3 linked regions of the Kluyveromyces lactis genome follow. The protein of the gene in region 3 purifies or fractionates together with the protein of the main gene of each other region. This does not show direct contact. Links are inferred from orthologs where the notes say so. Each region holds a gene or a part of one and is shown on either strand. Other genes may lie near its edges.

The links.
Region 1: the proteins of TFG2 (region 3) and RPB4 purify together in Saccharomyces cerevisiae (affinity purification with mass spectrometry; 4 studies listed by BioGRID, with this or other methods). This does not show direct contact. The link is inferred for Kluyveromyces lactis from reciprocal best matches to the Saccharomyces cerevisiae genes TFG2 and RPB4.
Region 2: the proteins of TFG2 (region 3) and SPT5 purify together in Saccharomyces cerevisiae (affinity purification with mass spectrometry; 3 studies listed by BioGRID). This does not show direct contact. The link is inferred for Kluyveromyces lactis from reciprocal best matches to the Saccharomyces cerevisiae genes TFG2 and SPT5.

The regions. Positions count from the first base shown.
Region 1 is NC_006037.1:539,779-542,373, reverse strand, and holds RPB4 (DNA-directed RNA polymerase II subunit RPB4), read left to right. Parts: upstream 1-1,453; coding exon 1,454-2,056; downstream 2,057-2,595. Other genes in the region: serine/threonine protein kinase YAK1, read right to left, coding at 1-829; KLLA0_A05775g (glycosyltransferase family 15 protein), read right to left, coding at 2,106-2,595. UniProt on the Saccharomyces cerevisiae protein: DNA-dependent RNA polymerase catalyzes the transcription of DNA into RNA using the four ribonucleoside triphosphates as substrates. Component of RNA polymerase II which synthesizes mRNA precursors and many functional non-coding RNAs.
Region 2 is NC_006038.1:68,492-72,845, forward strand, and holds the start of SPT5 (transcription elongation factor SPT5), read right to left. Parts: upstream 2,862-4,354; coding exon 1-2,861. Other genes in the region: RAD33 (Rad33p), read left to right, coding at 3,179-3,709; ERV25 (Erv25p), read right to left, coding at 4,037-4,354. UniProt on the Saccharomyces cerevisiae protein: The SPT4-SPT5 complex mediates both activation and inhibition of transcription elongation, and plays a role in pre-mRNA processing.
Region 3 is NC_006039.1:1,607,448-1,610,430, forward strand, and holds TFG2 (transcription factor IIF subunit TFG2), read left to right. Parts: upstream 1-1,274; coding exon 1,275-2,441; downstream 2,442-2,983. Other genes in the region: KLLA0_C18161g (uncharacterized protein), read right to left, coding at 1-521; mRNA splicing protein PRP18, read right to left, coding at 563-1,021. UniProt on the Saccharomyces cerevisiae protein: TFIIF is a general transcription initiation factor that binds to RNA polymerase II.

The sequences.
Region 1 (2,595 bases), on a different chromosome or scaffold from region 3:
TGGTAGTTAACGACTTAGTTAGAGCCATCAACGGCGAGACCGTCTTGCTGCTTAATGAAGCACGTCTATATTTCGGTGTGGAATGTATAACGGGATTCAAGTCCTGTCTCGTAAATATCTTGTTGAATTTAGGGACAATAATTATTGGAGAAGGTGGCCTTGACGACGGAAGTGAACTTGAGCCGCCACGCGTGCTCATGTATGCACCTGCAGTAGCGGGATACACAGAAGAATTTATGGAGCCAGCCATATATCCCGCAGTATTAATTCCAGGTTTCCTAAGCTGAGATGGTTTCGTTACCTGCTGTGGCGAAAGTTGACTGCCACCAGTGACAGCAACCGACTGCCTTCTTTGTGCATCATTATAGTTGGGAAACGGTTGCTTCTCATAAAGGAACGGATCAGGCCCTGCCGCACGCGCAGGTGGTATTACTAAAGATGAGTTTCTCCTTCTGAACTGTTGTGAGGATTCATCTACAGCGTTATCTTCTTCGTAAGTAGTGGGCAAGGGGAAGTTGGATTGCTTCCTCATAGTAGACCTCTGAGACTCAGGTATCTGGGGAATCTCTTGCCATGGGTTTTTGAATATCGATTGACGTGGCGACTGCATTTGGAAACCACCAGCCGCATTTCCGCCTTGTTGCTGCCCTGCATATATATTCCCGCCTGCATTGGAGCTACTCCCAGCTGGCCCATCAGGCGCAATCTCTGGGCCCTGATTCTGGGTATTTGCCTGCGTCTGAGAAAAGTTCTGGTTCTGATTCGAACTCGACGCTCCCTGCTGAGAAGCCATGAACGCAGGGTTCCAAAGGCTATTCTTATCCCCCATTTATTATATATCAGATTATAGTCAACGTCTAACCACGTTATTGCAGCAAAATATTAGAAAAGCCTCTCTTCCAACAAAGAAATGACCAATTCACAACTCAAAGTTTCAACGGAAATACCTTTTAAACGTTATATCGACTGAATAACCCTGAGTTTCGCTTAAAGAACTTATAGCAAAACAGTAACAGAAACAAAACCAGCTAAAGAATGTACGCCTTCCTATATTAAAAAACAGCTAAATTCGAATCTGGCTATACCTAATCACGATGAGTACCAAGTACATACAGCGCTGCCCTAAAAATAAGCCCTGGTGTCCTGTACAAACAAACAGCTTTGCCAAGATTCACTTTAATACCTTAAATACAGAGAACATTCATGTCATGAAGTCATAGGGCCAATATTCTGATGTTGAGTTTTCGCATAATTACCGTTAGGAAAAAAAATGGAAATTCAATTACGATTAAAACGAGAGGTAAACTAACTTTGTCACTCGAAACATCAACTGGAGTTACATTTATCTAAGTTGTACCGTTGTCAAAGTGGCTGATTACTGGAATAGCACTTTTTGTGATTACACTCGTCTACTTTTTTGGACCGCTCTTATAGATAACAGCTCGAATTTACCATGAATACATCTACATCCACTGTTCAAACCAAGAGACGTGGGTTGAAGAAGTTTGTTGAAGAAGAGAATGCTGCCACTTTACACTTGGGAGAAGAGTTTAATTTGAAGCAAATCAACCATCAGGGGCAGGAGGAAAACCTAGTGGCTTTAAATTTGAGTGAGTCTCGTTTGATTATAAAGGAAACGCTACAGAACCGTCGGAAATTATTCAAGACATGGGCAAGCAATGGTGCATCAAATAAGGACGATGACATGGATGATGAAGATAACGTCAATGTGCATACCCAAACACAGGAGAAAGAGTTACAGGATATAGATAGATTGCTTGAACAGACCACTGGTGGACAGAATCAAGCGTTGAAGCAGACCATGATATACCTAACGAATTTTTCACGTTTCCGTGATCAGGAAACAGTAACCGCTGTATCACAGCTTTTATCATCCACAGGGTTGCATCCATTCGAAGTGGCGCAATTGGGTTCTCTATCGTGCGAAGATGCAGATGAAGCCAAGACTCTAATTCCAAGTTTAGGAACCAAGATATCTGACGAAGATCTAGAAAGAATCCTAAAGGAATTATCGAATTTGGAAACTTTATACTAAAACCTATGTACTATATCTTATATATATCCCCGGTTTCACCTCTGCTCCATCATCTAATAAATAGTTTGCCGGCACCGTTTTTCCACCATCTCATCAAGCAACTGTTTGGGTGGATGGGAATATTAGATTCGCCGTTAGGATCACACATACAACGGAGCACTAATCGTGCTGATATGGACGTGGGACATGTTTCAAATGGAACATGGCTGTATCCAATTTCATCAAAGTGGTGGATTTCATTCTTGTCTAGAAGTAATGAGGCACCTATACTGTGCACGGGTGCATCACCCCAACGTTCATAATAAAACCCACCCTTGGAGTCCAAGTAATTGAAATACTGAAGATACTCGTCACTTCTAAAGAAATTTAGATCTCCAATTTCGAAATTGGACCAGAAATGACATAGATTATAGTCTGTATTCGAATCAACAACAGGGAAAAAACGTCCCACCATCGTGGTATCCGTCAAAAAGCTTAGACTGTTGTTAGGATGTAGAATTTCTGGATAAGTATCCATGAATTCCTCAACAGCATCCCAT
Region 2 (4,354 bases), on a different chromosome or scaffold from region 3:
CTTGATTTATTGCCACCGCCCCAGGCAGAAGCTGCTCCTGATTCTCCGCTTGCTGCCCAAGAAGAGGCGCCTCCATAACTAGATTTATTACCCCAAGTGGACGCACCACCCCAAGTTGATGTAGCACCTTGCCCACCCCAGGTGGAAGTGTTTCCAGCAGCTCCACCCCAGGCAGAAGCACCACCAGGGCCTTGTCCGCCCCATGTCGAAGCACCACCCCAGGATGAAGTTCCTCCGTTCTGGCCAACCGCAGGAGTTTTACCGCCATCAAATGCATTCCAACCAGGAGTCATTCCACCAGGAAGTTGTTGCGGAGTGTTCGTTGCCACCGCACCACCGGCAGCCATGTGTCTTGGTGCACTGACATAGCTTGGGCCCAATCTGGTATGTGGAGTTCTACCACGTCTACTAACAAGTTCATCGTATGTTATACCTTCACCACCTTCATGACTGAAGTAAGTAAGTTTTCTTTTGTCTATTGTAATATGCTTATTTTTGGAGTGCAATTCAATAGTAGCCTTATCTCCATTGACGTCTTTGACAATACCCAACTGCCCCTTGTATCCCGCAGAACGTATCCTAACAGTTTTGTTCAAAGCGACGTCACGGCCAACTAACCGCGTCTGCTGAGTAGTTTGTGGTGGTCCCATCTTAGACGCAATATTTGGATTTATTTTAGATAAATCCAATGCTGACGACATCAAGTTTTCTTTTGAGGCGACAGCCTCGACATTCATTGGATTAACAACGAAAACACCGGCATTTTCCGTTATTGTTTTCGATCTAATGAAAATATGTTGGTTTTGAACGTAGAGTACTTGTCCCTCTCTACGGGAACCGATCTTTTCTCTTACTACATCGCCAATTTTTATTTCTCTACCATTACCATCGACAGCAGCTACTTTCGCTCTTGCTACATTGATCTTGGCAAGAATTGAGCCTTTAGTAACAGTAGCCACTTTACCGGAGTCGTCAATAATCTTGAAAATATCATGTCCAGCCTGGATCACACATGCCACGTTTTTGGCACTTAACTCAACAATGTCATGTAGAGCGTACTCGCTTGATGTCGGAGTAGAATCCATAGATTTACTCAAGTTATTCGCAGAGATTGTCAAATTTTCTCTAGTTTGGTCAGAAACAAATGTGACTTGACCGTTCTGCACCAAAAGAACCAAACCAGCGTTACCTTCATGTTCACCAGCTATTACTGTGACATGGTCACCAAGTTCGAAAATTTTTCTTAGAGATGCAATTGGGAACTCTAATGATTTATCTGAAAAGCCCGATAGTTTAACGCTGATGACGTCTTTAGAACTTCTAGTCACCACACCTCTAGATCCACGTTGTTCCCCGGTCAACACTTCAACACGGTCACCTGGTTGAAACATAGCTTTAGAAGCTTGAGCTTTTTTCATAGTTTGAGCAATAGCTGCTAGATCGACATCACCTTCTTTACTGCCGAACCTTGATAATTCTTCCACCGTAGGTTGGATATTCTTTGTATCAAGATACTGAATCTTAAAAGATTTGAAAAGATAACCGTCAACATAATCTTCCTTCCTGTAAGTGAAGTGCCTGTCATCTCTTTTGAATAAGTTGGCTTGGTCTAACCTTAATGCCATAGTAGGGTTAAATAATTGAGGAGGAGGCCTACTAGCAAACGTTGCTCTCTTTGCCTTTCTCTGATTTGTATCTGGGTCGATTTCGTCATTTTTACCGTAGTCTAATCTGGGTACAATCTTTAATAGAGCTTCTAAGTTGTTCTGACTAATTTGATCAATGACTGCCAAATCATTCTTATAAATACCCCTTTTAATTCTAACATAAGAACCAACATCAAGTCTCACTTCATCTGACTTGGTAGGCTTTAATAGTAAAGGTAGTTCTTGCACGGGAATCAAAAGCTTTTGATTAGAATAGACATCTGGAACACCGTTGACAAATTTTTCGATAACAGATTGTTTTGGAGCTTCGATATAGATTCTTCCTGTGTAATTGTCTCTTTGGAAGATGGACAGAATCTTTAATTTTTTAGAGCCCATAGATTTATCCAAGTTAAACTTCTTATTTAGCAACTTTCTCACTAGTTCTTTCTCCTTCCCTGGTCTACAACGAACGGACCAAATAATAGCAGTATCAACACTTGGTAACATAAACCTCTGAGGTACATACCCACCTTGAGTTTGTACACGGTAATCTTTGGAAGAGTCACGACCATAACGTTTCTTGAAGTCTTCAGCGATCTTGTGCATGTCTTCATCCGCAGTTTTTTGAAGATTTTGATCTAATTCTCTATGCAGTCTGTCATCAACTCTACCACCACGATCCTCTTCGTCTTCTTCGTCACCGCGAGTAATGAAACCTTCACGAACTAGTTCTGAATCTTCTTCATCTTCTTCGTCGTCTTCGTCTTCACTGACTTCGGCTTCAATATCCAAGAATCTGTTTCTTTCACGACGTTGCTTCTTCCTATATGATTCGACATCTTCATCTTCGTCATCGTCATCGTCATTGTCATCGTCGTCATTGTCATCTTCATCATCTTCATCGTCTTTGTTTTCTTGACTGTTTTCTTGATTGTTCCCTTGATTTCCCCTAATTGGACTATCTTCAGTAGCCTCTGTCTTTGGTTTAGAATCAGTAGGAGCGTCCTTTAACTGATCGACAGATGCAGAGTTGTTTTCAGAACTCCCATCAACTTCATCGATAGTTCTTTTCTTGCCTCCAACCACATCTGTAGAATCAGACGAAGATGAAGTAGAGTTATGCTCCTTATCTTGACTCTCAACTGACCCAGAAACTGTTTCAGGTACAGAAACAGCCTCTGCTTTATCGGATTCCTCAGCAGTACCGCTCATGACGTCTTACTGACTGTTGCTTTGTATCGTGAATGCGAACTGTAATGCATACTGATCATCATTACAACTTAGCGTGGACTACCATTTTTGTATTGAAAATTGGGAAGTTTAGATTGAAATTTTTCAAGGATCACAAATAGAGGGTAACTCTCGCCTAAGTATTTCAAAAGTACTTAAGTAGCCGATGAATCAGTCTGCATCACTTCATAACGAACGGGCAGCTAGTACCTTATGTAGTCTTTAATATATAACATCAGCTCTGGCTACGTTAAGGACAATATTAACCGATGAGTCATTGCTGACCAGATAATGTAGTTATGCGGAAAAAGAATGATGTCAGTTATGACACAATTACCAGATGGAATGAGGCCAGAATGCCCACCGAGATTGAAGATGAAGTCCTATCGATATATTTAAGCTTCACCGAAGAAGGTGAATTCAAGTGGGCTGATATTTCTAGTTTTTATACGGAATTACAAATCAGTAAATCATGGTACGGATTATTAGAATTCAAGGACTTATGCTTGGATGGAATTGACGTCATAGATTTCGAAAAACTCTTGGATGTCACTTATCGACTCTTGATCTTCATGGACAACGAGAGTATAATAGATAAACAATGGGAACTACTATTAAAATATACCGGTAGATTGCAACAGTTCCCTAAGGTTGCACTAAGGAAGCACGTGATAAGTGTTAAAGATGTCCAGAAGGCTGCTGTTCAAGTGGATATGGATCAACATATTATCCTGTCAATGGTAAGTTGGGCTACGAACGGCGAGAGGGTATTTGTCACTTACCTAGACTTTGCCAAATTACTTGGTAAAATGGGTTTATTAAGATACTAGCATCATTGCAATCCACTAAATAATTCACTTCCTAAAAAACACGTCAATCTTTGGAACATTTGGAAGAATATCACTAGTAACTTAGTACAAAACTTATAAATGTAACTGGTGGCCATATCAACATAGAATTCTAGCAAAAACAAAGACCTACCCGTCTAGGCATAATATAATCCCTTTCCCCCTCTACTCGTCCGATTTAGAAATTATGCCATTTTCCATATATAGATACTGTACACGTATAAAAGGCTCACCATATGATGTATGTTTCTTCAATTCAATATTTGAAGATCGTATTGAGATTCAAGGCATTGAAACTATTCGAACATTCTAAATAATGTGCTTAGCTCTAAAGAAGTTCTTCATGTAGTTTACTTGCCATGCACCCAAAGCGACCAAAACAACGATGACAGCGATAGAAAAGTTTCTAACTCTTCTGTTGGTGGACTCGTTGGTGTCTCTTAGTCTTTCTTCTCTCCCCTTCAAGTAGTTGAATTCATCAACAATTTCGTCAGTCAATTCTTCAATCCTACGTAGTTCAACTTCCACCGGTTTCAATTTTTCACTGGCTTGAATCTTGTTCCAATCACGAGCCTCGGATCCGGATTCAATATCCAATTCAATGGAACGGCTCAAAGATCTACCGTT
Region 3 (2,983 bases):
AAAAACGTGCCAATTATCGGGGGTAACGTTATTAATAGATCAAACACTATGTTTGCATGCATCTTCACCAACAGATCGTTGGGCAAATTGTACCGTTTCCTTGCGTATTCCACCGTAGAGCTGTGTACCCAGTACATTAAGATCGGTCCGATCACAGGAAGCAACGAAAGTACCGTGGCCCAACCGATGCCCCAATCAATCCAGATACATCCACACCCGAGGAAGCATCGGTCGTCGTACCATGCTCGGTTCTGTAACCGTTTCCATGTCTTGGTTTCCTGTTTCGTGCAATATGCAGGCAACTTCCTTCGAACCCTTTTCCCATTACTTAGTTCCGAATAGAATGGATCCTTCACCGGTTGAAACTTTGATCCCATGAAATCATCATACTTTTCCATACCATAGTCCTGAGCACTAGACTCAGCCATACTAGTGACTACACCACCCATCTTCTCGTCGCTTGATTGCCCTTTACCGCTTCCTTTTTTTGTTTCTGTTCCAGTTCCGAGGTTATGTAACATGTAGCCATCAGAGTGGTTTGAAATTAATTCTATATTTAAAATCATGCGGTTCTTCGCTGTGAAGATGTCCATTGCTTGAAATTGACAAGCCGTTTGATGTTGACGCACCAGTCATCAAGAACCATGTTCTCTTGTGTTTGTGCCTTGCTGCCTTGCAACTGCTGTTTCCTCTCGTGTATACCAACGTTGGTTAACCCGATCGGAAACTTCCCTTTACCTATACTTAAAGTAAGGTATTCTTGCTTTGCTCGCACGTAATCTTCATCTACAATGGCATCTAATACTCTTGCCAGTTGGGATAATTGCAATTGACCGAGCTCCTGTTTCCTTAATGCCACTAGAAGTGGGAACAATGCCACCTTAACCCGTTTCAAAGGCACGACAGTATATTCAGATTCTTGGGTTTCCCATTCTTTAAGTATCTCGTGTATATACTCATTGCAGCTCTCGTTCAACGGTTTCTGTTGACTGTTGTACCTTTCCTCGACTGCATGACTCATGACGCCTGCTTTGATGAACGTAAATACACCGTAGGCAGAGGTGCCAATCCACTTGGTTAGTTTCTGTTTATTTTATCGTTGATGGCTAGCTGTTTTTGTCAGTTTTAAAGATTTATCGAATTGATAATTGAAACAACTTTAACAACTTAAAGCCACAACAGGAAGGCGGAAGGAAGACAAAAGCAAGCAGAGAATCCGGATAGAGGTACCTGTTAGGTCTCATATATCCAAGCCAATAGTTAAAAATCTAATCATGTCTGAATCCAGTGGTAAAGATTTGGTGGAAGAAGTCGGTGAAGAGGCGTTCGATGGTAACGATATTGAGAACAATGAGAAAAAGGTTTATGAGGAATCGTTAGACTTGGATCTATCCAACGCCAGGAAGAAGATTTGGCTTGTACGTCTGCCTAAGTTCTTAGCTGAAAATTGGAGAAACCGTACTGCATTGCATGGACAAGAATTGGGTAAAGTTAGGATTAATAATGCGGACCATTCGATCCAGTTGTTGTTGAATGAGGATGAGGACAACAAGGACATACCGCACAAATATGACTTAGAGTTGACCAAGAAAGAAGTCACGAACGAGTACGTATTCACTGAACAAAATTTGAAGAAATATCAGCAGTTTGCCAAGGAATTGGAGTCGAACCCCGAGTTGCAAAGACAGGCATACATAAGGAAACAAGAAAGAGAGGAAGAGATGAAGAAAAAACAGCAGCAGATGAAGCGTAAGTACAACAAGAGAAGGTTTCAGCACCGTGTCATGACGGATAGGGACGGTAGAGATAGATACATCCCGTACGTGAAGACTATTCCGAAGAAAACTGCAGTGACGGGGAAAGTGTACCACGAATGTCAAGTGATGCCCTCGATAGACGATCCAAATTACCATACAATTGTGGAACATAGAAGACAAATCGTTAGAAACATCCACAAACCAACGGTTACGGTGCTTGACCAAACTCCTGGTGTCACTATGAGTAACGCCGGTATGTCGATGAGATCCGACACTTCCAAGTTCTTAAAAGTTGGAAAGGAAAAGAAGAACAACGCAAGGGCTATCCGTTTGCCAAAGAAGGAACTTTTGGATCTATTGTTCAAGTTGTTTGATGAATACGATTATTGGTCCTTGAAAGGTTTGAAGGAGAGAACAAGACAACCAGAAGCATATTTAAAGGAATCGCTAGATCAAGTTGCTATGCTTGTGAAAAAGGGTCCGTATGCCTTGAAATATACTTTAAAATCGGAATATAAAAAGTTGAAGGAAGCTGAAAGAGCTGCTACGCTTGGTGAATTGGCACAACACGCTGATCCAGAACAACAGCAGCAGATTCAAGACCAATTTGATCAACAACAACAACAGGAGAACGAGCAAGAGGAGGAAGACTTGGAAGACGTGGAAATGGAGGATGTGTTGTAGAACCCTTCAAACATAGTATATATATATATATATATATATATATATACACATAATCATGCCCCACCGGTTATCTAGTAAATGAATGGATATCTTATTCATGATGCTGGCATGTCTAGTCCTGTGATGTATTCTTGTGACCTGAACCAATAGTAGGATTAAAGAATTCAAATCACGTGATTAACAAAGGACTGTCCATTGTTAAAATAACACCCATACACTCCAAACACTGAAAAATAAAAACCCACACATCCGGATACAAAACGAGAAAATTCTCAATTGGGTAGTATAATACTCAAAGAAACCCAAAAAATCTCTAAAAGCCAACCTCCTGACACCCACACACCATCAACTAAACTTTTCACCAATCTCATCGACTGTGCTCATTGAGTATTGTGCAATTGGCAAGCCAGTAAACGTTTAGTTTCGAACAACTTTCGACAGTTTTAACGTTTTAGATTTTAACATTTGTCGTTAATAGTGGTGTTTTGTATATGTCCATTTAGTGTTTTTTTGATGTTTAGCGTTTTTTACATTGTATTATC